Linked DNA regions of Tamandua tetradactyla. The protein of the gene in region 3 interacts with the protein of the main gene of each other region in a biochemical or structural test. Links are inferred from orthologs where the notes say so. Each region holds a gene or a part of one and is shown on either strand. Other genes may lie near its edges.

Region 1 (6,963 bases), on a different chromosome or scaffold from region 3:
GATGAAATTAAAACATAGAAAAACTTGATGGCCCTAAGGAATGATTTGACTTTTTTAATAAGAATTAGGGACCTCCAGAGTTTTGAGTAATGAAATGAGTAGAATTTTGTACTGGAAAAGTTTATGTAAATAACTGACAATTACTGATAATTGATTGAGGCAATTAAGCAGTAGAGTCCAGAGATGAATTTGGATGATATTGTTAAATCTAGACAAAAGGCGATGAAGGTCTCAGTCAGGCTATTGTCACTTATTTCTATCATCTTTAGTATTTCTACTGTACTGAATAAGTATTTGAAAGCCCTTATCATAAATATGTGTGTATTGGTATTACAATTATTTTTACTTACCTATCTCCTTTTCTTCCCCAGCAATATAACATGTTTTAACTCCTGCATCAGAGACTTCTATTTATTCTTTCTCATCCTTATTATAGGAATAAAACTCAAGTTTTAGCAAGGCACAGAGCTATCAGTTAGAGGCTTCATGTCCCAGCCTCACTTGCAACTAGACATGGCTATGAGAATAAGTTTCCAGAGTGAGATAAGAGCAGAAGTGATGAATGCAAATTCTGGAAATGGAGAGCTGGGTGCCTTATTCTTGCAGGTTTTTCATTACCCATTTTTCTCTCATTTTGCTGAAACAGGTATTGGAGACCATAAGGTATTGGAAACTACATAATTTTCACAGACCTTTTTCTGATGTAACAGTTATGGGAACCTGGGAGTTCCTTCAAGGGTCAATTTTTTCCCAGGCTTTTGCAAAAAGGGAAAATAAAGACATATTACTAAATTCTGGCCAGTGGAATGGAAGTGAAAATGGGGTATAGCATCTGGGCCATGCCCTTGATAGGAACTTATTTGTTTTCTTTTTGAGAGCTGAGACTTAATTTTGGTGGTGGTAAGTTAACTTTGACCAAGGACATCACCCTAGTAAGTATGCAGGAGGTTCCTGTGGCCCCGGACCTACCTCACAGGGAAGTGTCCAAACTCTCAGGTTTGCTATCAGCTTGGACTTCCATATGGGAGAGCACAACTTCTAACTTGGTTTCTTAGTTAGTCTATTGTTATTTGATCTCTGTTGAAGCAGGCAAATTAAGATCTTAATACATAATTTATAAATATTCATCATTACTACTTTGGATGAATTTATGATTGGTAAATGTTAAACTATCTGTGTATGTAAAGTAACATTAAAGAATTATTTCTTCCATTCCCTAAACTTTGGGCATACAAGTTTTGTAGTCCATTGAGCAGTAAAGATGTAGTAGAAAGTTTAAGTTGAAGACAACTTCTCGATCAAAATCTTGGGCCCACAGCCTAACTTGCTTTATAAGTTAGATAAAGCACAAAGTATGTGTCCAGATGAACTCAAAACAATACTGGGTTCCTGGTTTCTGGTTATGGTCTTTATTATACTACGGCCAAGGTTGTGCCAAAGTCTATGCTGCTGAAGAGGGAAATGGTGACATGTAAATATTGGAAATTGAAGACACCTTTTTTTTTTCCTGTGCCAGTTGAATTAGTCTGCTTAAAAAAATATTGCCTATATTTGTTTTATCAAGTCTTTACTGTTGTTGGCAGTGGTTTTCCTAGGAGAATTAATTACAGGGACTTTGCTTTGTTCACTACTGATCCCAAATCCCCAGAACTCTGCTTAGCATGTAGTAAGTGCTCAAAAAGAACAAAAACAAAAAGTAAAAACGCTGTTAACTGACTGAATGGATGAATCATGTTTGTATCTAACAATTACGATTTTCACTAAGTGAAGTAAAATAATGACTTATCAAGAGATGAGTTACTGGAGATCCCAGTGGTGATAAATGTATTATACTAAAAGATTTTCCTTAAATATATGAAAAGAAGATAATTTATCTCAAATACTTTTTTGTAAAGAGAACTGCTTCAAGATTAATGTTTTTGAATCTTACAAGCACATTTGTTACATTTGGCAATACAGAAATATCCAATTTTCCAGTATTGTGACTAGGTGTAAGTTTATATCTAAGAATAAATCTGATATAAGAATGTAAGAATATATGTTTAGAAAAAAAAAGAGAAAGAAACTGGCCATTTTTCTACATTTGTGGCATTAAAATATAACATTTAAAATATCATCAAAATTATTATTTAAATATTGGGTAGAAGCAAATGTAAATGATAAACTTGAATGGTTATGTTATTCTGTATTGTTGATGACTCATTTGGGCTCCCATGAGAATCTGCTCACATGAAATATTGCAGTTACAACAAGCAGGGATTTTAGTTTATCTCCCAAGATTTTAACTACTATAGGTCAACTGACATATACATTAATAAAGTGAATATTATTTTGTATAGTAATTTAGGAATCTGACATAGAGCTCTAGATGTAATCTGTTTCATACATGTATTTTATAAATAGGGTTTAGGAATAAGGTATTAAATTTGCAACATTTAAGTAAAATAAATAATGTGACACTGGGAAGCAACACTATTCATATAATATAATGAGATACAATAAAATAAATCAGATTCTCCCAGGGTATAAATTATACAAACTTGGAAGTTGTATTTATTATTTAATGTCTCATTCCCAGACAGGTGCTTTCTCAGTAGTAAAATCTGTTAACATACCAAATTTAAAGCTACTTAACAAATAGGATTTAAAAAAACAACTATCGTGCATATAGCTAAACCATTTCCAGGCATTTAATTGTTTTTGTAATAATATTAAGAATATTTTATTTTTATTATCAAAAATAGTAGAAATATGCATTTTACAAATAGACTTGGATTGTTAAAAAGTATCATTTAAAAGATTTGTCATGAATGGACTGACTTCCTATTAGGTTGCCTTTCAGTGCTCAAATAAGCCCATGTCATTTTGTAAGGATGCGTGTTGTTAGCGTGGATGGTAAGATAACCTAAATGCCCCTAGGTTAAGCAGTTATTACTGATGATTTCATGAGTTTTTGTTCCTAGTAGTACATCAGCTCCTGTTAAATTTTGCAAGAGTGAGAATAACTCCTAAGACCTCACCTTCTATCAGGCCCTGTGCCAGTGTGGCTATTTTAGGAGCTGAAAAAAAGGGGATCTTTTTTCTTTGTGTAAATAGCTTAAGAGTAATTTTGGGTTCCTAGAAATTGTGAGTTATTAGAAAGGTACTTATAAATGGGCACAGTATATCTCTTGTCCAGGATCCTTTCTAGCCAACCTAGTCTGACCCCACACATTGTTGGGCACTGCCTGCCATTGGCGGAGTAATTGTCATTGTTGGCAAAGACCACCGAGGACAACAGCTCAGAATCCATCACACGGCCAGCTTAGAACAAATAATCTCGTGTACCCTGATTCGGAGCGAGTGCATTCAATCAGGAAGATCACTTACGACTGAGTTTTTCATCATGGCTTTGACTGTGAAGCCCTCAGAAACCAGGGAGTGCGGCTGGTGCACCGGGAGCGGCTGTTGTGCCAGCAGCTTGGTCCTCTTCGGCATCTTGTCTGGGCATTTGCTTAAGCTCAGGGTCTCTTTTTCAGCCACCATCTTTCTAGAAAATGTCTTGTTCTCATAAAAAGTGTACTAAGAATCAGTGGGGTTTACAGATGTGAGAAGGTCGGGAAAAAAACGTCAAAGGGCGCAATAATGTTAGAAATTCAACCCCTCGTAGTGCCCAGGCTGATCCAGATGTTTGGCAGCTCCTAGGTGAAGGGAGTTTGGGGGAGGGGAGGGGCGGGAAGAGGGCAGAACCGTGGTTAGAGCTGCAACAAGCTTCCAAAGGTAAGCCTCGTGGTTGCTAAGCGACGTATCAACACAGCGGCCCAATGGCCTCCGTCTGTCGTGACGTACGCTTCCTGGGCCTTGAAGCCGGAAAAAGTGGCCGAGAGGCGGCGAGATGGAGGGGAGGCTGCGCGTCGAACTACAATTCCCGGCAGGCCGCGGCCGCGCGGCCTCCGCGCATGCGTGCTGCGACCTCGCCGGGCGCAGGGGCGGGGAGGTCCGGAGTCATTTAAGCCCCGGGAGGCGGCGGGCGCCAGTGTGCCCTAGGTCGCTGCTTGCCGAGCACTCGCCACCTGCTCAGTGACCATGATAGGTATGTGGGCGCCTCACAGGTACGGAGTGGCGTGGCGCCGCGCTTGGGCCCAGGGCATTCCAGAGAGCCCGCTAGTGCTCTCCGTCCTGATAGGGCGAAAAAGAGTGCGCCGCCCGGGTGTCCTTCCCCCGCCGACCTGTCGTGTCCGTCCTAGAGAATAAGTGTGTGTGCCTAACACCCCCTCATCCGCCCGAGACTGAACAGGGACTCCCTGAGGACAGCCGCGCCAGGGACGCCAGCTAAAGGGCAGCGGGGGTGCCGCTTCCTGCCGGCGAGTGGCCCCTCCCCCCGCGGCCTGCGCGGCGGTAGCCGCGTGGTCAGTCCCGAGGGCCGCTTGGCGCTCGCACCGCCTCCCGCTCCCTCCTCCCAGGAGCCTGGTTGGCTGGCGGTCTGCGTGGGACCGATCGGAGCTCACTCTCCGCAGGGCTCTGGAGGGGAAAACTTAGCCAAGCAGTCGGACTCTCAGGGAAGGGACAGCAGGACGATGCTGATGGTGGGTGGGACCCAGAGATTCCTTAAAATGAATGTAAACGTCCTGCTTCTCGGGTTTTCCCTATTCAATCTCACATCGAGGGTCTGAGATCAAAGAAGAATGAACTATTAAGATTGTAGACTTGGTGTCTCCTGCTTTTCGCATATGGATTAAGGGTTATTTCTGAACACATTGCAGTTTTGTGAATGGCACTTTGGAAGTGAATATTAGGGTTGTTTATAAATGTTATGATCTTGAGAAGGAGCAGAGGTCTCTTCTTCCAGGGTTGTTAGGCAAAGACATTTTAGGGATTATCCCTGAAAATTAGCGGAAAGCACAGTAGGAGTAAGAAACTACTATTTGGGGATTCGTTGTCACAGACTTGTTCCGTGTTATATATTGAAGTCTCGGTGACCTTGTTTGAGGATTTACTGAGGAGTGTCCACTTAAAAACACTTGATTTCGACAAATCAAATGTGGTGTGTCCAGAAAGGTGAAAGGTGGATTTAGAAAATATATGCGTTTCTATGCACTGACAACACTCCTTAACTCTGGTTTGTTTATAAAATTAATTTAAAAATGAAAAACAAGTCTAGTCATCACTGGGAAAATCACTCTAGTTAACTGACATTTTCTCTGCAGCCATGATGAAACCTAAGGATATTGCCCATTTTTGCTTAGCTTTCTAGCGTGGTGTGTCTTTTGGTGAATGACGTTTGAAAATATATAAATATATAAATTTTTATAAATCCTGTTGAGCTTTTTTAGGTGACAGTTATTCAAGTTCATCTGGAAACATAAATCTGAACTGAATCAGAACTAAGCAGTAGAGATTTTCGAAATTCATGCTGTTGGTATTTCACAGGAAAAACAACTTTATTTTGAAGACAAGCGTTTTTATGTTTATGTTATTTTAATTCGACTTAATCTACTGTAGAACTATTTAAGAGAAACAAAATCTATTGTGAAACTATATGAAGACAGGAACTTAAGATCTAAAACCAGCACTCTAAATTATTATCTACTATATACTTATACAGATAACTTTATTAGGATGAAATATATCTAGGCTGTTTTGTTTAGTTTTTATTTGGGATATATGCACACAGCAGGGAAGAAGTATTGTATTTGAATTTGAAGGTTAAACAGTTGTCAAGACTGCTAATGAATGAATGATTTGGAGACTACAGGTAGGTTTTTTTTTTTTTTTTGACATGGGCAGACTCCTAGAATCAAGTCTGGGCCTCTGACATGGCAGGTAAGAACTCTGCCACTGAGCCACCATTGCCCGCCCTACAGGTAAGGTTTTAAAAGATTTTTTTTTTTCATTCCCAGCTATTGTATATTTTTACGTAGTGCAAATAAGTGTATTATAACATAAATAATTAAATCCATGCCTCTTTTCCCCTCAAAAAAAGTATGACACAAAAAACAATTATTGTAAACTGACATTTCCTTGCATGCCTGAATAGATAATGCTCGATCAAGTATTTTATGCAACATGTTGCATTATCTAATTCTGTTGGTTAGTGCATTTGAATAAATATCTTAGTAGGCAGTTTTCAACTTGGGAGTGTTGAAGAGTGCTAAAGGTACATGAAAGTTAGTGGGAACAGTTGAAAAAAAGTGCCTTGGGTTTTATGTTTTTGCGACCAAATTTTGGATCTGGGAAAGGCATTTTGGTTTTTGCCCAGCAACGAACTAGAGGTCAAAAGATACATAAATGTACATCTGGAGATTGTTTTCTTATTAAAAGACACGTCTTCTACTCAGAACTTGCCCCTTTAAATGTCTCTATGCTCTTTAATCACTATACCATCTTAATGCAAATAATGTAATTCTATATTAATTAAATCCTGGCTCTCTTTGGAAGGAAAATTAAGAAGGTAAGAATGTATGTTACCTCACTACCAGTAAAATTACCTTCCTTTTACTTTGTCAAAGCCCAAGATTACCTTCTTGGCACTGACTTAGTACTTACATTTTCATTTGCAATGTTAAATGCCCTGACCCAGACAATTACAGATACCTAATTTAATTGAAGCCAGTGAAAAATTATGACTTTGTGATAAGTATGGAGAAGGGCTTCAAGATAACATAAAGCAGAATAGAAAAATTTAAGAAATATTACTTAGAAAAATGTAATTTTTGGTATCTATTAAAAATACTGTTACCCTTTTTTAAAGTTAGCTAGATTATTGTGTATGTTTTAAGTGTGAGTTTAAAACTTCTTTGTTTTTAAAACTGAATTTTAATAGTGATATTTATGATATATCCTGTTCTGAAAAACTAGATGTAAGTATTTGAGTAATATCAGGTATTAAAGTCCATGGATAAATGTAACCATGTATTGAAATTCATTTTCAGCATCTTATACTTTTAAGTTTTTTGGTTAGATTTTTGAAAAGAATAATCAGAA
Region 2 (7,933 bases), on a different chromosome or scaffold from region 3:
CTTCCAGAGGAAATTTCTGATCCTTGCAGCAGCAACCTCCACTCCCACACTCCCATCCCTATACCCAAACTTCACGTTTTCTCAAACTTGAACCCTTACCTTGGGGCAGAGCTGTGCTCTGGGCCCTTGTTCTCAACGAAAACCTCAAAATGCCTGCAGCCCACCTGAGAAACAGGATCTTGAGGAGAGACAAGCTGAAAGAATACAGATGCAAGTCATACCTCAATGATAAAGGGTCAGCCCAATAACAGTCTATATGAGCGATCTTATCCTTCAAAGACCACAAATTTGGGTACAGTTAAAGATGTAGGTAAATAATTTCAAAATAAAGACAAAACATATACACGCAAATCCATTTTTACACATCATATAAACCAATTACTTTATGCACATATTTTTATTGAGTAGCACCTGGATTTTTTTCCCAGAAGAATTGTAAGCAAAGAACAGTGATTGCCAAGCAACCATCACAGATACCACGTTCCTGACTCCATCATTTCACTCAACCCCTGGCTAAGCTACCTCTATTTCCTCCTAACTGTGGCCCAGGGACCACTATTCTTGTCTACCTTTCTAATTCATCCTTTTCACGAATAGCAGTTTTTCTAAAATGCAAACTGTGTTACTTCTCTGCTTATTAACTCAATTCAGTAGTCTCCCACTGGCCTTAAGATCAAGACCCTTCGTGGTCCGGTGCCTGCTTACCTCTGCAGTTTCAACTCTTGACACACCACATCTCTCTCAACCTATATTTCAACTGCCGGGGATTTTTCTCACTCTCTCCACCTTCCCTACTTAGCTTCACAACGGCCAGCCCCATGTTATCTTGTAACCCAAGCAGAAAGCTTGGCACAGAGATCACCTTAAGAATGTGCTGACTTAGTAAACTAAAGCATGCACTCTCAAAAGAGGCAAAAAATCTCTAATAGCGTTTTTACTAAAAAACACAGACACACATGCAGTACGTTAAAAAAAACAGAAACTGTTTAAAATAAAACAGAGAGAAGATGAAAAACAACAGAATAACAGCAAAATGTGGACAAGTTCAGGAGGCATATGTAGGTATAACAGAAAACTCTGAAAGAAAGGGAGGTGTAGAACGCATATCTGAAAAAAAAAACATAGTATATATGCAGCACAGAAATTTAAAGGTAGAAGTAATTCTGGAAAAAGCCTGAAAGGATGTTAGGGAGTAATCATGGAATAAAGATTGAGAAACACTGTACTAAAGGAACATTTTTGAGTCAGAGCAGAGAGCTCAAAATCAACAGAAAGGCCAGCAGTACATGTTTCCACTTCAACGTTCCCATTTCACCTCAAACGCATGGATAAAATTGAGCCCAACAAGTCTCCCACCCCTTCAAAAGGAAACCATCAGAAAAGCAATTGCTGCCAACATACCCGCCTTTCGTTACCAGTGGCTCCAGAAACTCTCGGTCACTGACCTCAAAAGCCTGGTCCCATAGCCAGGAAACCTGGGCTGTAACGCCAACTAGCTCGGGCAGATCGCTCCACCATTCTGGGCCTCAGTTCCCCGACCACTTAGGGAGCCTAAATTTGAGTGCAAAGACTAAATTTGAGAGCTGAGACCCCGAGTCTGCCTCTGGGCACTCTGCGCCTGAAGACTGCAGAGCTGAGACCCCGAGACTGCCTCTGGGCACTCGGTGCAGGCGCAGAGCGGAGGAAGGATTGGGAATGTGATGGGCTGTAGCAAGGATAAGACAAAAGCCGAAATTTCACACACAAAAAACAGCCACCGCAGGCTCCCCCAGGTTCAATTTCCTTTCCTTCTCCCCGAACGGATCAAAAGGGGGTATTTTTTGTGTATAGTGTTTCGAATCTCAGGCCTTAAGAATCTGAATAATCTCCATACCCCTGACTACAGGGGCGCAGGGGCGGAGTAGGCGCTCCAGGCGCGGGGGCCTGGCCTCCATAGCCTGTTCCCGCCCCACCCCCCCACCCCCGGTAGGAAGGAGCTGCCCGAAGCCGCGCGGCTCCTAGAAGCTAGGCGCCGGGCGGACGCTCTCTGGAGGATCCGACCCCCCCCCCACCCGCACCGTAAGCTTCCCCATTCAAGTCGGGGAAGGGAGCACCCCCAGGTCCAGGCACCGAGGCGGCCACACAGGCCCCGCGACGGCGGCACGACACAAAGGAGGCCTCGCCACCCGGAACAAAACCCCGCAACGGCTCCCCCGGAACGGCCCGCACAGGCCCGCGCCTTAGCCCCGAGCTGCCCCGGCTCGCCTCTCCGAGTGACCTTGGACGCGTCCGGTGCCCTCCCCAAGCCTCAGTTTCCCTCCGTAGGTTACAGGCTAAGCCCACGGCCGGCCCGCTGCGGGGCGCCGAGGGCGGAGGGAGGCCTTCCCATTTCCGCTGCCAGCGCCGGCCTCCGTCCATCCGTGCGGGCCGGAGATCGGGGAGTCGGCCGAGATCCCTGAGGGGGCGGCTCCGAGCTGGCCTGAGTGGCGCCAGGGCAGCTCCCCGAGCCCCTGCAATGAGGCCTGTGCAGGCCGCGAGGCAGCCTGAACCCCGCATCTGCCGGAGCGCCGACTTACCGCTCCCTGCCCGCGACGCCTGGCCTTACGTGGAGCTGGCTTAGTCCCGCAGCGCCGTCGCCAACGAGCCCGCAGAGAAAGCACCTTCGGAAACCGCGGAGGAGAACTAGCAAGACGCCGCCGCCTAAACAGAGGGCTACTTCCGCTCTGGAGACCTCGGCTCCGCCCCTTGCACGTCCCCATTGGTCGCCACAGCCCCTACCTCCTCGGCCAATAGGCGGAGAAATCATATTTTCAATCCTATTGGCTAGGAAAACTATCTATTACTCCTTTGAAAAGGGCTTCCTTCCGGCCCCACCCACGTCCTCCCGCTCAAGCTCCCATGTTTCCGCGAGAGCCGAGGAGGACCGGCTCTCCACCGCGTGGCATCTCGGGAGTTGTGGTGTGTGGGCCGGGGGCGCGTGACTTGGTGACCCCGGCAGCCCGCAGACCGAGCCGGCCCGCTTGTGGTCTGCGGAGCTCAGCGCCCCCCAGTCACTCCTCTTAGGTCACAGTCCGGCACGCCGGACAACGCGTGGGGCTGGACACTAGTCCGCGGCCTAATCCCGTCCTCACCCTGGGCCTCAGTTTCCCTTCCTGTTCAGTAGGCCTTTGCGGAGAGCGTTCCTGGAGCGACGCCCCCAGGCTGCCCGCCGGAAACTGGCCCTGGATCTGCAGCCTCTCCGGGGAGCCCGCGACCCACGATGAGCCAGGCCCTGGGCCCGGCGAATCCGTCTCTCTCCCGGCGAGGGCCTGATCCCGGGACCCTTTCGCGGCCGCCTGGAAAGGAAGCGTATGAGCGGGAACCCGAGGAGGCACGGCAGCTGGAAGGCCGGGAGGGCTCCCGGCAGAAGAGACCTGGGGGCTGGAAGGAGAGCGCTCCAGCAAGAGGGGTCCTGTGTCCCAGAACCCTGATACGTCCAGGAAGCTGAAGGCTGCGCAGTGTGCCCGGAGGCAGGTTGGGGAGCAGGTGTGCCAGGTGGGAGGGTAGTGGGTCAGAAAAGTCAGAGCTGAACCCGTGGAGGAGCACTGAGACGGGGTCGAGGTTTCGAAAGAGACCGTGACCGAGGCAGGGGCTTTAGTGGCTGACGCCTGGAGCTGTCAGGAGCTTCTGGGGGGCATTTCAGGCAACTCCAGGCTCAAAAGAGTGCATACTTCCCGGGTTTGAATCCCAGCGCCGTCATTTAATCAAGTCTCAACTGTTGGGTTATCCTCAGAGGGAGAACGTGGGGCACACATCGCACAGCAGTGTACAGGGCATGCCAGGCCCTGGGTGAGGGCTACAGGTCAGAATCGGACAGGAGGCATCGGTCTAGGACCTGGACCCAGGCCTGGACTTGGGCTTGGAGGGACTGTTGCCGTGGCAACCAGGAAAAGGAACCCAGCTTGTCCCTGTTGACCATCATCTGTGGTGCCTAGGCACCCCCAGGCAGTAAGGACACCCCAAATGCTGTCTCCTCAAGGGATCTTCAATCCAGGAATATTGAGTTAGGTGAGGATCATACCAGCAGATCATAACCAGAGCATGAGTAGTTTTGAGTTACATGGACCAATAATCTGCTTGAATTTCATGTAATCTGCTTCCATTGTAAAATATGGGTTGAAGGTTTGAGTTTTTGAAAAATTTTAAATTGTGAAATATAACATATATAAAAAAGGCAATAAATTTCAAAGTGTATTGTAGCAAGTTCTTATGGAACAGATTCCAGAGTTCAGTATGGATTACAGTGCCACAATTTTAGGTTTTTCCTTCTAACTGCTCCAAGCACTGGAGACTAAACAGAATATCAATATAATGTTTATAATATAATATAAATCATACTCATTTGTTAAATCCTATCTTCTTCCTTACGACTCCTCCTCCTCCTTTGATACTTCTCCCAATCTTTACGGATATTTGGGCTATGCCCATTCTAACGTTTTCATGTTGAAAGAGGGTGTCAATAATAAGGGATGGGGGGTGGAACTAGTTGAGGTACTTGAAGAGGCTGTCCCCTCTGGGTTTCAGGACTTATCTAGCAGGAACCATCTTAAGCTTGTAGGTTTCTGGAAAGTAATCTTAGTGCATGAAACTTTTGCAGACTTTTAGAGCCCTAGGCTCTCTTTAGGTTTAACAGGAAAGGTGTTGGTTGGACTTTGGCACACCAGGGTAATTAGCAATATCTAGCTGAAGCTTGCATAAGAGAGTAGCCTTCAGAATAGCCTCTTGACTCTATTTGAACTCTCTGAGCTACTGATAAAATTATTTTGTAACATTTCTTTTCCCCCTCTTGGTCAGGAAGGCATTGTCAATCCCAGGGCGCCAGGGCCAGGCTCATCCCTGGGAGTCCAGTCCCATGTTGCCATAAACCTCCACCCTTGGATGTCATGTCCCATGTAGCAGGGAGGGTAATGATTTTACTTGCAGGACTGGGCTTAGAGAGAAAGAGGCCACATCTGAGCAACAAAAGAGGTTTTCTGGCAGTAACTCTTAGGCATAACTATAGGTAGGCTTTGTTTCTTGGCTACAGAAATAAGCTTTATAAGCGCAAGCCTCAAGATCAAGTCCATGGCCTTGACTTGGGAGTCCCTAAAGTTTGAGACAGTCTTAGGGGTTTCCCTGATAGTAAAGCCTAATAGTTCCATAGTTTTCTCCTGTCCCTCAAGGCACTTTGCCAATACTTTTTAATTAACTGCCCAACATACTCTGGGATGTATCCAGGCCTTACATTAAGCTATACAGAATAACAAGCCCTCATTCCCATTCTGGGCTCTGTGTGTTTGGGTTGTTTAAATGATCTGTCCAGATAGGTTGAGTTAGAGTATGTGCTACAGAAAATTTAGATTTTGGACAAAATAAACCTCTCTTTCTTTGGTCTCATACAGTAGATGAAGTTCTAAAATACGATGTCATTGTTTACCCTGTATTCTAATTGACCTTAGTCCCGACCAGATCAGCTTCATTCTTCTCTGTCCTTGAAGCCTGAACTCTTTTTTGGTTTCCTTAACAGTTGTGGTATGTAGCAATGCTGACTTTTAGCACTGCAGAACTCCAGCTCTGAGTCTTAGGTGTCATACAGATAGCCAAACTTCCAGGGAGATACCTGCTTAAACATATACAGCACAGTAACTCAAAATCTAGAAATAACATTTACAACTCTGGACTAAATGTGACTGCTTTAAGAGCTTACACTAGGCCCCAATTTTCTTACACGTATTTTCTGAAAGAGATCATACTATATTTGTTGTTTTACTTCTGGCTTATTTTGCATGACATAATGTCCCCAAGGTTCATTAACCTTGTTGTATGTCTCATGACTTCATTCTTTCTGTAGCCTCCACAATATCCCATCATGTATACAGCACAGTTTGCCATTCTACTTCTCAGTCAGTGCATTCTTCAGCCACCTTCATCCATTGGGCATCATGTCCAATGCCCAAAGTCAACAGTCCATGTTTCACATTATCCTCACTTAATAGTGTAACATTATACTCTCGATTTTAGGCAATTTTCATTGCTCCAAAGGGAAAAATAACTGATAAACACACTCTCACCACATAGAAATTCCAAACCTCCCCTTAACTCTTGTCCTTCCCCCCAATACTTACCCCTGATATTGCTGTGTTATCGTTGATGGGTTCCTGTTAAACATAGCCCATTGCACGCAAGAGTAGTTTTCCCCCATATGCCTCTATTATGGACTCTCTGTACAAGATCCATATCTTTGAAGTAGTTCATGCAAGAATTTTATATTTGTAATGTTGATCAGTAGGATACCTGGCTCTGTACAACCCGTCATCATGTTCACCTTCAATATGGCATATTACTTTAATGAACCACCTTCATTTCTATCCATTCCCTTATATTTATGTTCAACCTCAGTAGCTAACCCTTCACCCATCTTTAGTTTGTATGTATCTCTAGGTCCCCTATATTCTACATTATAAGCCTGAGTTTACCTTCACTAAGGTTATAATAGCAAGATCATACAGTATCTATCCTTTTGTGTCTGGCTTAATTCACACAGCATTCTGTCTTCAAGTTTCATCCATTTTTGTCATATGCGTAAGGATTTCATTTTGTCTTATTGCCACATGATATTCCATTGTATGTATATACCACATTTTGTTTATCTACTTGTCTGCCCTTGGCTGGGCAGCATTCCAGGACAGCAAGTGGGAGCTCCAAGGCCCCCTGAAGCCTGGGCTCAGAACTGGCACATGGCCACTTCTGCTGTACCCTGTTGGCCAAAGCAAGCCCCAGGGCCAGCCTGGATGCAAGGGCTGGGAGAGGCAGTCTGCACCTCACCGGGAGGAGGTGAAAAGTCACATGGCAAGGGGTGTGTGTACCACCGATCTCCCACACAAGGCCTGTCCAAGGCCTGCTCCCACCCAGGTTTGTTCAGGGCAGGGTCCCTGGAAAAGGCTGTAGGTGCCCTCACACCTTTTCTGAGCAGCTTCCCAGGTCCCCGAGGGCGGGGCAAGGTGGGAAACCTTGTTGATTGCCAACGAACAGTGCTGCCAAAAGCACCCCAATTGTTTTTCTGAGCATCACCTCTCTGCTCCAGGGGTCAGCCTGATAGGTGACAGGTAATTCCTGGTCTTGCCACAGTGCTCGCTTCAGGGACTCCTGCAGACACTCCCCTGCTGCAGGGACTGGCTCAGCAGTGGCATGTTCAGTTCTGACCAGTAGGCAGAGGTGACCAGGGACCTTGCGGACAGAGATGTTTCCTTCCAGAGTGCCAGTAGGGTGAGAAGGCCCCTCTTCCTCTGGATGTGGTCAGGCTAGAACTGCTATCAGCCTAAGTTCAGAATTCTTGGATCAGGCATGTCCTGTAGTCCACTCCATCTTTGGGTTGCCAGCCATGTGAGTTAATTAATCTGCTTCTGAAAACTGGGTGGCAATGGGCTTTCTGTTACTTGCTACTGAAGCCAATTGGAATGGAGCTGAATTCCCAAGGAACTCTGTAGACAAGTCATTAATGTATTCCCTTGATGGCGAATGAAATGATTGTGTATTTTACTGCACAACAGAGGATGTAAGAAATGCCAGGTTTATTTCTCTAAATAAAATTTAATCTGTTCCCAGTCCTCCACAGCAAGCTGGGAAATTCCTCTCCTAGCCAACCTGGGTTATGGGGAAGTCCTGGGGTTCTGACACAGCGCTGAATACTGGGGATAGTGCTGGACTTCTGTCTGCTCTTGTTGCTGTTAAATGCCCACCTTCCTGGTCTGAATGTGCCCTGGGGCACAGCCTCCTAGGGACGCACACAGCCGCCCCCTCCCCAGGTGCCATCACGTGCGCGGGCTCAAGGGGGTATGGAGTGTGGCGAGAGCTCTCCTGGGCGCTTGTCCGCCCTAGCCGCTCTCCGCCGCACCCCGCCGCACCCCGGCCCGCCGACCTCGCCCGCGCTGGGCTG
Region 3 (6,849 bases):
GAAGCTGTCCAGGGTCAAGGAAGACCCATCCAAACTGGGCACGGTAGATGTCCGGGGTTCTGAGAGAACCAGCAACAGCGCTAATCAATAAAGGCCCATTAAGACTTGTAGGAGGCTGAGATGCAATCAAGCCAACCCTCTGAAAATGGGAACAATCTTGCATAGGCATCTTTTTTACCATTTAACTCAAGACATACACACCATTAAAACAAGCTAGTCTTTCCTTCATCAGCCCATGGTTAGATTACCAAAGTGCTTTACCAACTTTTCAAATTTCAAGTCAGGCAGAATGACAACAAACTCTCAAACTCCAAGTTCTGGGCTGACTACTCAGCAGAAAGATCTAAAGCTTCATGTTCCATTTTATTTTAAATTCCTTTAAGAAAGAAATCCCCTATATAACTTACCACTTGGGATTCCTTAAAGTCTTTCTGGTTTACCACTTTATATTTTAACGACTGAGAACAGAAGACTTATGAAAGGGTGTCTGGCGGTTCCCAGATTATTGTAAGGGTCATGAGAATCAGAGGACATTACTGAGGGATGACAGAGGTAAAAGGTAGCTAGTTCCAGAGACATAAGAGGAGACATAAGTTGAGACATGAGAGACTCAACTTGGGGAAAAATGCAATCTTTTACAGCAGCACAAGAGCAAACAGCATGAAAAAAAACGTTTAGTCTTCCCGAAATGTGGTTAACAAGAACAAAATAGCAAAACAACCTACAATAACCATCTTACAATCATCTATTCACTCATTTCCCTCAACTCTCCAAACAGAAAACTCTTTTTAAAAACATATTTTCACCTCCTAAATGTTCTACCTTACTGATATGAGTTATTTGTTCCTTATGCAATTTGCGGAAAAAGCTCTATTCAAAAAAGATCATACATGCAACAGGTGAGGAGGAAGTGAGAGGGTAATAGAACTCACTGTGATACAGAGTTGTCCAGGCAGGTATTAGTAATTAACAAGAGGGATGACAGCTGTAGGGAGGGTGACAGATCAGTGATTAAGAGGACAAGTAATATGAAATCAGATTTGGGGGTCACTGTTAAAGGTAATGAGGATTCTTACAAACCTCAATAAGATATAGGAGAGGCAAACCACAGAAACTACATATGGACAATAATTAAAAGAGAAAAAGAAGAAGCCAGAGAGAAAGTAATGAGGGCTTCTAAGGCCCTTTTCTCAATTTTAAGAACACATAAAACAACCATGAAGGACACTTAAATTGCCTTCACTTGGGTGGCAGACCAAACCAAGCCGAGAAGGTTCAGAAAATAGGAAGCCTCCGGGGTGGGGGTGGGATGGGGGCGTGGGAAGAGTACCGTACCTCTTGGCGCTGGTGGAGAGGAGTTTGGAGTTTTTGCTCATGCTGACTTTACTCTCCTTCTTCTTGGGGGTGTTTGTTTCTTTCTCGGTTTGCTGGTTGGAGGACGAAGATGAGGAGGAGCTGGTGCTGGCCCTCGAATCGTCATCCGACATAGCGAACCCCCCCACCCCACCCCACAAACAGCCCCTATAGGGTGAGGGAAACAAAACAGAAACAAACCATACAGCCGGTGTAAATAAAGGAACTCGGGCGCTGTCAGGAGAGCACGGGCCAAGGAGTGCACCCCCGGGCGCCCACCGGCCTCCACTCGCTTTTCGAAGTCTCCAGCCGCATTAAGGCTTTTGCAAATCCGATACGGCGGGTTTGTTTATTTTTGGCTCCAGTCGGAGACGCGGTGGGAAAACGGTCTGCAGTAAAGCAAGCGGCCCCTCCCTCGCCCCCCGGGGCTCCCCTCGGGGCAGGGTGGGGAGAGGCCGAGTAGGCGGAGGAGCAGGACAGGGCGGGGGCACTGGGCGCTTCGGCCGGGCAGGGGGGAAGGTCCCGACGGCCGCTCGGCCTCGGGGCTGTTTTTGTCGGCTTTTCGAGGGTCGCGGGGGGCCGGGGGCCGGAGCGAGGTGCTGCGGCCAGGAGCGGAGTTTAGCGAGGTCGGGAAGAGAGGAGGGGCAGGGAGGAGTAAGAGAGGAAGCCGAAACGGGGGGACGGAGGCGGGGAGCTGGTGCCCGGGTGGGGGAAGGGAGAGGCCGGCGGGGGCAGGGGCGACGAGGCCCAAGCCCCCCCCCCCCGCCACGCGCTGCGCCCCGACGCCCCTCCCTGCTGGCCTGCCCCTGGGCCACCCCAGTCGGGCTCCAGGGCCGCGGCTGAGGGTCCCGAGCCCACGCCCGACCGCCACCCCTGGGGAGGTGGGGGTGGGGGGAAACTCGGCCTCCGCAGCGAAGGAATAACAATGAGTCCGCCCTCCCAGGAGGGCTAATCCCCGCGGGCCCCCACCCCAGGGGAAAACTGGGCTCCCCCAACTCCCCTCCCCCCGCTCCCGGCCCCCTCGGCGGCCAGTGGGGGGCTCCCGGGGCAGCGCTGACAGTTCGAGCCACGATGCCCCCCCCCGCCCCCGACGCGGGCTGCCCCCGCACCCCACGCGGCCTGGGGTCCCTACCCATCCCCCGCGGGCGGGCCCCGGACCCCTGGGGCTCCTGGGCCCCTCGCCGTCCCCCTCCAACCCCGTGCCCGGCGGTCCCGGCGGCGCGGGTCGGGAGAGGCGGCAAGGGGTGTCCCCGAGGCCCCGCGGCGCGGCCAGGGGGCGGCAGGCGGCGGGGGGATCCCCGTACCTCTCTTTGTGTCTGGCTCCTCCGTGCCGCCGCGGCGGCTGCTGCTGCGGCTGCGGCTGGGCCTGGCCACTCGTGTCTCTCTCGCTGGGAGAGAAGCGGAAGTGCAGCAACAGCAACTATTAAACAGGCAATGGCTTCCCCCAGCCACACACGCTCGCACACACACTCCTCCTCCTCCTCGCCCTCACCCCTCCCCCACACGGCCCAGTCCCACCCACCCGCGCTCCCCTCCCCCCTGCACACCTCGGGGTGGGGGACACGAGGAGGACACCGGGGACCCCGGAAAATCCCGGCCCCCTCGGTCCACACGACTCCCACCCCGGCGCCTCCTCCGGACACCCGGGAAGGGGGCTAAGGGTGTGAATTTTCCCTGAAGTGGTTTGGGGAACTGGATCCTGAAAGCCAGTCCGAAATGGGGGCGCAGGGAGCTACTGGAACTGAATGCATATGGGGACACTAGAGAGGAAGTTTTTTCCAATGAAGGCTTTGGCAGATTGGTGGAAAAGATGGTAATCTGGTGGCAAGGACTTTGGACTAGAGAATGCAGCGGGAACTCCTCCTAAAAAGTGATCAGCTTAAAGGGAAAAAAGAAAACCCCATAGAAGGGGTTTTCCTTTGGGCTAACACTTGCTTCTCCCTGTGGCAAATTACTTGCTAAGAGTTTAGGCACGCACGCCTTTGAGAAAAAAATCCCAAACTGGGAGTTTTCTGTTCAGGGCACGAGGAACATGATATTTAAAATTGAGGATTCTTCCAGTTTTTTTTTTTTTTTAATAGAAATCAATGTGACTTTTTTTTAATGATACAAAGGATTTCATGACAGGTAAAACCAAAGTGTGACAGGTTTGCAAATGCAAGAAATCACTGAGAATAAGCCAGGTACTTAGACTAGATTGATAATTTTTGGTGTTAACCTACATTAGATAGAAAGTTTGATTTTGGGAAATTAGATGCAAAGTTCTGGGGTCCCTTGTACCTCCTCAGCCTCAACTTTAAATGTTATTCAAATAATAATAATATTTTTAGAAAAATCACTTAGTAATTTTTCTGCATTAATCCTTACTTTGCGTTTTTACCAAGACTATTTTTTTAGTATTAAACCATCAAATTACTGTTTAGTTTCTCACCTATTTGCCATTTCAATTGAAGGGAACTGAAGAGATGTCTTCCATCTAAATAACAACAAACAGTGCTGTGCAAGGTCTTATACATGAAGTAGACAGCCCAGTCCAGTTTTCCAGGGGCCACTCTGAATTACTTCATTCAAATTGCCATCATTTTCCATGGCAACAGTGGCTTCACTCACCACAGGACACCACAACAAAATGTAGAAACCCATGGCATAGGAATCAGGAAAACAAGCATTCTCATTACCCAGCTAATTTACTTCTTCTAGCCTTCAACCTGAAACTCCAACTTTATCAAGATTCATAAAGCAATAAGGTATGCTTCTTGCTCAATCCTTACCAGGAAACCTTTATCTACCAAGAATTGTCATAGAATCTAGGAGTCCAGAAACTGAAAGAGACTTTGTAGGTCATCATTTCAGTCTCCTACTCCAGACAGAGCTATCCCTTAACCACCCTAAGGCATATACTAGATTTGAAAACGTTTTCCAGAGATAACCTTTCTCAGAGTTTGGTTTCAGGAGTCCGGGTAGAGCATATAAAAAAGAATGACATTCATGCTGTTTGGATTTGAAAGCAAACAAAAAAATCTTGAAAATAAGTTGTATACTTTTTGTACTTCTAATGAAAACGATATAAACCAAGAGAAAACAATCAGCAAACAGATTAAATAAACTCAGTTTGGGTAAGGAAAATAACATAAATGCAGTTATTAAAATATAGACTCCCTGTTATGAACATTTGGATTTCAAATATTTAAAAATACATATCTGTGCTATGATTTCTACCAGTAAAAAAATCATTAATGTATCATAAAGATAAAAGCTAGTAGAGATCACAGGAAAATTAGAAGTTTGATTTGCTGAAGTGACCTGGATGGTGGATGGATTTTTTTTTTCCTTTAATTATGATTTGCATAAATTGTATACTTGGATGCTAACTATAATAATATATATATTTTTAAAAATGAACATGGCATTTTGTGTTTCATTGTTGATACCTGGGTTGTGCTGGTCCCTGGGGATATAAAACATAATCTAAAGGCTCCTCCTAAATGGGGAAGTGTTCTCTCAACCACGTGTCTCAGAAGATACCCGCTGTCTCTTGTGTACTGCTCCTTCTTATCTCTAATTCGCACTAGCCCTGGTTAATGCTTCATGGCTTGGGGGAAGGACCCTCTGAGGGGGGAATAAAACCCTCCAAATGTTTAGAAAAGAATCCACTCCTCTCAAAAGTCTAATCTTTAGGTCAGATTTTAAATATGCAGTTGTACTAGTCAGAAAAATAAACATAAAAATTCATTTGCAACCAGTTCTTCTACTTATTAACTACAAGGCCTAACAAACTGAATTGCCTTCCCTGAACCTCAGTTTCCTCAAATATAAAGGTCAAGCATAACAGCACCACTGTGCTGCCTAACAAAATTGTTAAAAGGATCAGCCAAGTGAAGGTGGTTTATTAACAGTAACACAAAACAAATTATTTATAATTCCACTCTGGTCCTTCTTCTCAGGAATGTTGTTGACACAGGGTCTTTATGACTTATAATTAATGACTAGTATCTAAAAAACTCCTAAGGAGAAAGAGTCAAGAAATCCTAGGATTTTATTACTTGATGGGGCCTACAATTTCATCTAGTTTAAATTCCTCAAATCAGAGATGAAGAAATGAAGGCAAAGAAAGCCAAAGTCTTGTCCAAGGTCATGTAGTAAGTCGGTGGCAAAATTGTGGCAATGGCCCATGCTGCTCATAGATGATTTTGTCAGTCATGGCAAGATTGGGGGAATGGCAGTGGGGTAGGAGAGAAGCTCAGTGACATTGGAGAAAAACGTATTCAATATAAAAAAAAAAACCTCTGGTAATAATTTCAGGAATATATTAACCATAAAGACATACTTGGGAAGGAGAAAGGTGGAGGCAAGCTAAAATAATCTCTGAATTTATAATATTGACTTGAAGCAATCAATGACCTTTATTGAAGCTTCCTGCCCCCATCCCAAGAATATTCCTCATTATTTATTTTACATTTATGGACATATTTTAAATAGGTAATTTATTTTTGTGCTGTATTAAAAGATACTAAAGGATATACAAAGAAAATATCCTTTTGCCCTTTTCCCAATTCCCCAGCCCTGAAAGCAGTTTTCTGTGGGTACTTCCTGATGTAGTCTATACTTGTGAAAGCAAATGCGTATACATACACCGAGTTCTTTGATAGGAATTCTCAATTTAAGTTTAAAAGATGCATCCAGCCACAGAACCCCAAGTGCTGCAGTCCTGCGATATCTATGGGCTTTGAGGAAGAAGGCTCTAGTTTTTACGAGGACTTATTCCTCATTCTCAGAATGATCCAGCTCTCCAAGTCATCTTTAGAGTATCAGGTACCTTTAAGTAGAAGCACTTCAAGATCAAGGTGCTTACAGACCTAAGCTGATCTTCAGGAGGAAAGCAATAGGAATTTCCATTTTTGGGAGGAAATGGTTACAACTGATTCAAAAGAAAGAGACCTAATATAACTTTTTTGGTAATGGTTTTGTTTGGTTTTGATGTTTTTTAAAGTTTATTGCGATAACATATATAGAACATAACATATCCCATTTTAATCAATTTCAGGTACACAGTTCAATAATGCTTATTATTCACAGTGTTGTGCTACCATCGCCATCATCCACTGTCAAAACTTTTCCATCTCCCAAGCAGAAACTTCAAGCCCTTTATGCATGAACTCAGCATTCCCCACCCCTGGCCCCACCCCAGACACTATAATCTACTTTCTGTCTCTATCATTCTGCATATTCTAGCTATTTCCTATAAAGTAGATCATACAACATTCGTTTTTCTGTGTCTGGCTTATTTCAGTCAACCTGAAGTCTTCAAAGTCCCATCTAACTTTTGAACACTCCTATTTTTTGGCCTGTTGCTTATACTCAACTCTAAGTGTTTCATAAAGGCAATCGTTGTTTTTGGTCAATTTCAAAGATTCTCAAAGCAAATTAACATTTGTCAATATATTTTGTTTTGTTTGTTGTTTTTAATCTACCTTACAGCTGAGTGGAAAAATGTCC
Region 4 (7,553 bases), on a different chromosome or scaffold from region 3:
CATCAAGGGATTGAGAGAACCTTCTCGACCAAAGAGGGAAGAGTGAAATGAGACTAAGTGTCAATGGCTGAGAGATTCCATACAGAGTCGAGGTTTTCCTGGAGGTTATTCTTATGCATTCTTATGGTTTTCTCCAACTTCTCTATGTGCTGACCTTGTTCTGAGCTCTGGTCTGGGTCACACACCTCAACCTCCCTTAGCGCTGGACTCTATCAACTAGTATGCCTGGTGACACTGGACAGGATTGGGTCTCTCTCTCTATTCTCATTCTCACCTATCGTTGTAACATAAACTCTAATCTCAGCTTCCCTAAGTCTCCCATTTTGATTCTTAAGGCCAGGACTATTTCATTCTCTCTGCATTTCTGTTATAACAAACCCTAATTCTCTTACCGGATATGGGAGAGGGATCAGACTGACGAGGAATTGGTCCTAGTCCTGGCTCCACCACTGTACCAGACAGGTCAAATCACTTCAACCCTTAGTGCCTCAAATTCCTCATTTATAGAATGGAGAGACAAAATGACCTAAGTGATTTTAATGAGATAATGCATGCAAAGTTTAGCTCAGCAGAGTGCTGGGCACACAAAGAGAACTCAATTTAAAAGATTAACCAGGCACATGAAGCCAAAGACGCGAGTCGGCAATTTTTATGGAGTCTGCAAACAAAACTTATTAGGAGACTCCTGACCTTAAAACTGAAATGTATGTCTTTAGCCCACTGTAAACATTATCTAAATTATTAACACTGCTCTGAAATTTTCTCTTCTAGTCCCCCTATCCCCTGACCTCTGATATAAGGTCATGAAATGATGTCACAATTCACTTCCTGCTCCAACTTTGTGAGAATTTCCCTTACCTGGTTCGAGGAGCCTCTCATTTTTGCATCTGAGAGATCTCCAGCAGGATTCTCTCTCTCTCTTTTTTTGTATTTAAAAAAATGTTTAATATTTTTTAAACATAAGAACATACAAACATGAACATTCTTACCATATGATCATTCCATTCTTGGTATATAACAAAAAACTCATAATATCATCACCATGATGATTTCTTAGAACACTTGTATTAATTCAGAAAAAGAAATGGAAAGAAAAAAGAGAAAAACTCATACATACCATCCCCCTTACCTCTCCCTCTCATTGATTGCTAGTATTTCCATCTACCCAGTATATTTTAGCCTTTATTTCTCCTATTTTTTCTATACCCCTGACCACTCCCTTTCATTGATCACTAGCATTTCAATCTACTCAATTTATTTTAACATTTCTTACCCCATTATTTATTTATTTTTAATCCATATGTTTTACTCATCTGTCCATACTGTAGATAAAAGGAGCATCAGACACAAGGTTTTCACAATCACACAGCCACATTGGGAAAGCTATATCATTATCCAATGGTCATCAAGAAACATGGCTCCTGGAACACAGCTCTACTTATTCAGGCACTTCCCTCCAGCCTCTCCAATATACCTTAACTAAAAAGGTGATATCTATATAATGTGTAAGAATAACCTCCAGGATAACCTCCCGACTCTGGAATCTCTCAGCCATTGACAGTTTATTTTGTCTCATTTCTCTCTTCCCCATTTTGGTCGAGAAGGTTTTCTTAATCCCTTGACGCTGAGTCCCAGCTCATTCTAGGATTTCTGTCCCACGTTGCCAGGAAGGTCCACACGCCTGGGAGTTATGTCCCATGTAGAGAGAAGGGGAGGGCAGTGATCCAGCAGGATTCTTGTTCTGACCTGAGCACTCTGAGGTAGGGTTGTCATGCATTTTGCTCTTGGTTTTATTTCCTTTGGTTAAACTTGAATACTGATATTAGCAAATGGCTTTGGAGACTCTTATTCCTTCCTTTCCATCTATAAGGCATATGTTTCTGGTTTGGGTACCTATTACTGGGGTAGTTGGTTTCTTGTTATGTGATAATATCTACAGTACAGAAAATTTAGGAGTGATTTTTTTTTAAGGAGGGATTATTTGCATTTCAAAAGTTTTCTGTCTACGGCAGCCAAGTGAGACCCACATCCCTTCCACAGGCACCTTGATTGACCTTCTTTCATTTCCTTCCCCTCTCTCCTGGAAACAGGACTGTCTACATAATTTGCAATGCCCAGTGCAAAATGAAAATGTGGAGCCTCAAAGTCGTAAGAATCAAAGAATTATAATAATTCAAAAATTATTAAGAATTTCAAGGTGGTGGTGACAGCAGTATGTTAAGTACAAGTGCAAGATCCTTCTACACATGAGTGCTCCACACCCCGGCTTTTGTAATGCAATTTTGTTGAGATATACTCACACACCATACAATCCATCCAAAGTATACAATCAATGGCCATGAGGACCTTTTACCTACAGAGTCCTGGGCAACTGCAGAGGACACTGGCCCATGAAGCGACCCTGCAGGAGGCAGTGGTAATGAACAACAGAAGCTTTAGAATCCCATAGGCTTGGGCTAAAGTTCCAGCTCTGTAAGTTCCTTTTTTTTGGGGGGGAGAGGGGAGGCAGGGAAGAAGTATATGATAATAAGCAGGAGCTTATTAGGTCATTAAGAGCAAATTAGACTCATGGTTTCGGAGGAGCAGAAGCCAGCATCCCCATGTCCCATGTAAGTGCTGAGAACAATGCTTTGCATCTGATTTTAAAATCTGAGATATAATTTACATACCATAAAACTTATCCTTTAAAAATATGTAATTCAGTAGACTATGATATATTCACAAAGTATATTGATCCCCAAAAGAAATTCAGTGCCCATTAGCAGGTACCTCCCATTCCTTTCTCCCCCAACTCCTGATAGCCACCTATCTTCTTTCTGTCTCTATAGATTTGTATATTCTGAACATTTCATATGGAATCATACAATGTGTGACTTTTTGTGAATGACTTCTTTCACTTAGTCAAATGCTTTTGAAGTTCATCCATGTTGTAACACTTATCAGTACTTCATTCCTTTTTTTGTGGTTGAAGAATATTCCATTGATTGGATACGTAACAATTGTTTTATCCATTTATTAGCTGCATATTTGGACTTTTTTCCACTTTTTTGCTATTATAAGTAATGCTGCTATGAATATTCATACAGAAGTTTTGTGTGTGAACATATCTTTTCAATTCTTTTGGAGAGATATCTGGGTGTGGAATTTCTGTGTCATATGATAATTCTGTTTAACTTTTTGAGGAACTGTTAAACTATTTTCCACAGTGACTGCATTATTTTACATTCTCACCTGCAATTTATGAAGTTTCCAATATCTTGACATCCTTGCCAACACTTACTTTCCTTTTGAAAAGATTTTTATTATGATGGCCATCCTAGTGTGAAGTGGTTTCTCGTTGCGATTTGATTTGAATTTTTCTGATGACTAATGATGTTGAGACTCTTTTAATGTGTTCATTGACTATTTATCTACCTTCTTTAGAGAAATGTCTATTCAGATTCTTAACTCATTTTTAAATTGGGCTGTCTTATTGCTAGGTTGCAAGAATTTTCTATTCCTTATCAGATATATGATTTGAAAATATTTTCTCCCATTCTGTAGGTTATCTTTTTCTTGATAGTGTCCTTTGCGGCACAGCTTTTAATTTTGAGGACACACAATTTATCTATTTTTTTTCTTTTATTGCTATGCTTTCATCAGTGTAATATCTAAGAAACTGTTGCCTAATCCAAGGGAAAGAAAATTTACTCCTATGTTTTCTTCTATAAGTTTTGAAGTTTTTTAGCTTTTATATTTAGGTTTTTTGGTCTATTTTTAGCTAATTTTTTTTATATGGTGTGAAGCAGAGGGCATAGAATTTTATTTCATTTTATTTTTGTCTTTGTATTTTATTTTTTAAGGGCATAGAATTTTAATGCCCTCTCAGCCTCTCTATAATCAGGCGATCTTCGGTAATTAAAAAAAAAATTCTCTAAGTCTTATTCGTAAAGTGAAAATAGCAAATAGTTCCTAATTATACGGTTATACTAAAGATGAAGAAAATGTACCCACAGCATTTTGCACAGTGTTTAAATCACCCTAATTGCTCATTGTCAAAATATGAGCTGAATTAATGCTTTCATGTGCAGTGCCAGGAAAAGTTTAGCTTTTCTGAGAAAGTAGTCAAGGTAGGGGTATTTTTTCCACAGGCAGCAGAACTTCCCTACCAGTCCCAGTCCGCATCCTCAACTGACCGCTGGCCTCATGGTGACCTCTAGGAATTGGTTAAAAAAAACAACCATCTGGAATTCCAGGTCTCCATTTCAGATTTACTGAAAGAAATCCTCTGAGCGTGAGGTCCCAGAATATGCAGTTTTTAAACGTTAAATATAACACATATACAAAGAAGAGAAAGAAAAAGCAATGCTTTTCAAAGTACACTTCGAAGAGTAGTTATAGAACAGAATCTGCATTTTTATCAACTTCTCTAAAAGCATATTAAAATTTGCAGGGCGGTGGTGGGGCGAGGGTGGTCGCGCCTGCAGCACCGCCTCCGGCCTGCGAGGGGCGCCGGAGGGCCCGGGGCGATCACGGCGGCTGCGCGGAGCCATCTCCTCACGCCGGCTACCGCCTCAGTTTGCACGGCCTCAGTCGGCTCCGCCCGACCCAGCTGACAGCTCCGACGGCGGAAGAGGCGGCGCGCGGGTTGAGGCGGGCGTCGCTAGGCCGGGCCGGCGAGTGGTGGTGAGGGGGCCCGGGCTAGGGTGGGGAACGGAACTCTTGGACCCGGCACGGCGAGGCGGCCGGAAGGTACGGTGGGGACCGCGCTCCGGGCGCGCGAGGCAGGAAGGGCGGCCGGGCCGGGACTGCCCGGTGGGCCTCGGCCCCCCAAACCCGGGACGGGCTCCCTCTTCCCGCAGCGGCTCAGACTCTCCGGGGCGCTCACGGAGCAGGAAGGGAAAGATCCAGTCCCTGCCCTTTCGGGACACCCAGGCGAGCCCACGGCCGGCGTGCCTGCACAGCGCCCTCTGTGTGCCAAGCGCTGAGGCGGACAACGAGGTTGAGGCCTGCCTCAGGGTGTAGTTTGAGTCGCACAAACAACGACTCAGCACGCCTGGCGGCCGGCGCGCTAGTGGAGACCCGGGCGGCGGCGTGCTGATCCGGGCGAGGGCCCACCCCGGGCTGGAGTCCGCGAGGTGTGGCCTCGCAGTATGAGTAGTATTTTCCCACGCCGAAAGGGGACCCGGCCAAGAGGGGCTTCCCACACTGGTGTGGTTTCCCATTTGTCAAAACGAATATTAAATTTGAATGAGCTAATGCCGCCGGGTTTTATTCTCATTGCGGTCTTATAGATGAAGAAACAGCGTGGTTTGACTCCATACTTAGTTTTGTTGCATGTGTGACCTTGGGCCACAAGGGAACCTAAACTGATATTTTTCCATTACTTGTTATGGATTTAAGAATAGAGTTGCTTCAGGTGGTGGCATGAGTTAAATGCACGGATTTATGCATTTTAAAGGGTTGAACACCATGTGCCTGACACAAACCACTAAATATCACTGTTAATTGTGACCCACCTCCAGCTTATAGAGGGATGTGGCAGAGTGATGACTGAGCCTATATATCTGTTCCCCCATTCCAGCACACTGCATTTCATTCCAGTGCAATTTTTTCCCAGTGTCTTAATGCAGGACACTGCTGGATACTGAAATTAATACACAGATAGAAAAGACTTGGTCCTCCTTGAGCAACTAAGGCGCGAGAGGAAGTGCCAGTTCTTAAAACTACTGTAATGCAGGTTCGAATGTGTCAATGTCTTAGGAAAGTAACAGTAAAAAAGTTTGGATTTTAAAGAAAAACGTGATGTCCAATTGGGAAAAAATGACATGGAAGAGAAGCTTTGGAGGTGGGCCTTGAAGGCTAAGTGGAGAGAATCAGGTAGAAGAAAATGAAGGTCAGAGCCCTGAATTAAGGGGTCCTGGGTGGCAGCTTGGGAAAATGAGGTCTGGTGGTATAGGTGGTGAGCTATCAAAGGGAAACAGTGCTTGGAGCAGAGGTTCTCTACCTTAACTGCTTACTGGAGTCACCTGGAGAGCTTGGAAAGCTACTCATGTCTGGAGCCACTCCCAGAGATTCTGTTTAATTGGTCTGGGGTATGGCCTAGGTATTGGGATTCTTCAGAGAAGCTCCTCACGAGATTCTAATGTGCAGATAAGATGGAGAACACTAACCTAAAACCAAAAAACTAAATTCATCTCTCACATTATTTGTAAATGTTTTAGTAGGAAAAAACAAATAACTTAATCGCATTATCACCATGTTCTACTTCCTGGTAAATAAGTTTAAATAAGATAATGTGAAAGACCTAATACACTATATATTGGGTGCTCAATAAATGTAAATTGATTCAGAATCTGATTCTTAGCTTATTTGGAAATCACACATCTGAGAATCTGTTTAAAATTTATGGCTTCATATATTTCAGGGTGTTCATAGGACTCTCCATAGTCCATCTGTGGATCCCACTCCCCCACCCTCCCGGTTAAGAACCCTGGCTTTAAAGCGTTTAAATAAAACTGTTTGTGTTTGTTGTATTGTTTTGTTTTTTAAAATTATCCTGCTGTCATGCTTAAGTTAACCTTACTTTGAGTGTCACTGGCAGGATTGAGCAGGAGAGAGGAAAAACTGGAGGTAGATGGGAAATTAAGGAATAGAAGAAACAGAAGAGGAAGGGAGAAAAGAAAAAAGAATCAACCTCCCCACCCAAGAAGATGTTTGTCAAGAGACATGGCATCCTATCTTCTCCTATGACCTTGGGGTTTCTCCTCAGCTCCTCCCAGCACTGAGGGCTGTCAGATAAGGCCTCTGTCATTGCTAGAGACCTGCAAATGCTGGCTGTGCACAGGCTGTTCTAGGGGAGTAGTATGTAGCTGTAGATTAGGCTCAAGTATGTGGTAGGATGTATAATACTTAAGTAGTGATATTGGTAATTCACAGTTTAAATTTGGAGAGGGTCATAACATCCTTTCTGCAGAGGACAGGATTTCTGTAGTGTGTCTAGTATGAGTCCCACCTCTTGGTCTCTTATCCAGCTTTAGCAATTTCATCTCTACTGGCTGGAGAATAAATGGGATTTGCATGAATTCCAAACACCCTGAACTGAAATATAGACCTCAGTGTTAATATTCTTTTCTTCTGATCATCATGAACAGGTACAAATAGAACATGTCACTGTGCCTTAGATAGGGAAGCAGCTTAAGCAGAACCATTTCATCGGCTTGGGAACATTTATTTTTTGAAAATGGAATAATTTAAAATGAATTTGTTTAAATGAATTGGCACCTTTTATAATGTGAAAAATCATGTCCTAATTGTTCAGTTCTGTATATTTCAAGTTTTAAAAATATTTTAGTTAGGAAGCAGCATATTTGCAAATGCAATTATAATCCAATATTTTAATTGACAGAATGGTAATTCTTTTTTTGTTAAAGTAATTTTCATAGATTATCATTGCATATTTTTTCATGTTTAAATTCTCTGAAATTGTTGCCGCATCTTTCAGTCACTGTGATAAAAAAGCATTGACTCACACTTTAATTGTATATTTTCATTCGTTGTGTTACCTAAAATAA

What was found.
Region 1: the proteins of UBE2E1 (region 3) and PRKN form a complex in vitro, tested with the Homo sapiens proteins (2 studies listed by BioGRID). The link is inferred for Tamandua tetradactyla from reciprocal best matches to the Homo sapiens genes UBE2E1 and PRKN.
Region 2: the proteins of UBE2E1 (region 3) and RNF4 form a complex in vitro, tested with the Homo sapiens proteins (2 studies listed by BioGRID, with this or other methods). The link is inferred for Tamandua tetradactyla from reciprocal best matches to the Homo sapiens genes UBE2E1 and RNF4.
Region 4: the proteins of UBE2E1 (region 3) and RNF14 form a complex in vitro, tested with the Homo sapiens proteins (3 studies listed by BioGRID, with this or other methods). The link is inferred for Tamandua tetradactyla from reciprocal best matches to the Homo sapiens genes UBE2E1 and RNF14.

The regions. Positions count from the first base shown.
Region 1 is NC_135337.1:66,442,578-66,449,540, reverse strand, and holds the start of PRKN (E3 ubiquitin-protein ligase parkin), read left to right. Parts: upstream 1-3,947; 5' UTR 3,948-4,065; coding exon of another isoform or gene 4,066-4,072; intron 4,073-4,078; exon of another isoform or gene 4,079-4,565; intron 4,566-6,963. Other genes in the region: PACRG (parkin coregulated gene protein), read right to left, coding at 3,370-3,525. UniProt on the Homo sapiens protein: Functions within a multiprotein E3 ubiquitin ligase complex, catalyzing the covalent attachment of ubiquitin moieties onto substrate proteins. Substrates include SYT11 and VDAC1.
Region 2 is NC_135345.1:2,217,451-2,225,383, reverse strand, and holds the start of RNF4 (E3 ubiquitin-protein ligase RNF4), read right to left. Parts: upstream 3,023-7,933; 5' UTR 2,556-3,022; intron 1-2,555. UniProt on the Homo sapiens protein: E3 ubiquitin-protein ligase which binds polysumoylated chains covalently attached to proteins and mediates 'Lys-6'-, 'Lys-11'-, 'Lys-48'- and 'Lys-63'-linked polyubiquitination of those substrates and their subsequent targeting to the proteasome for degradation.
Region 3 is NC_135341.1:64,540,471-64,547,319, forward strand, and holds the start of UBE2E1 (ubiquitin-conjugating enzyme E2 E1), read right to left. Parts: upstream 3,009-6,849; 5' UTR 2,901-3,008; intron 2,763-2,900; exon of another isoform or gene 2,742-2,762; 5' UTR 2,658-2,741; intron 1,674-2,657; exon of another isoform or gene 1,558-1,673; coding exon of another isoform or gene 1,555-1,557; intron 1,522-1,554; 5' UTR 1,488-1,521; coding exon 1,336-1,487; intron 1,276-1,335; exon of another isoform or gene 1-1,275. UniProt on the Homo sapiens protein: Accepts ubiquitin from the E1 complex and catalyzes its covalent attachment to other proteins. Catalyzes the covalent attachment of ISG15 to other proteins. Mediates the selective degradation of short-lived and abnormal proteins.
Region 4 is NC_135346.1:22,074,669-22,082,221, forward strand, and holds the start of RNF14 (E3 ubiquitin-protein ligase RNF14), read left to right. Parts: upstream 1-4,551; 5' UTR 4,552-4,665; exon of another isoform or gene 4,666-4,731; intron 4,732-4,759; exon of another isoform or gene 4,760-5,117; intron 5,118-7,553. UniProt on the Homo sapiens protein: E3 ubiquitin-protein ligase that plays a key role in the RNF14-RNF25 translation quality control pathway, a pathway that takes place when a ribosome has stalled during translation, and which promotes ubiquitination and degradation of translation factors on stalled ribosomes.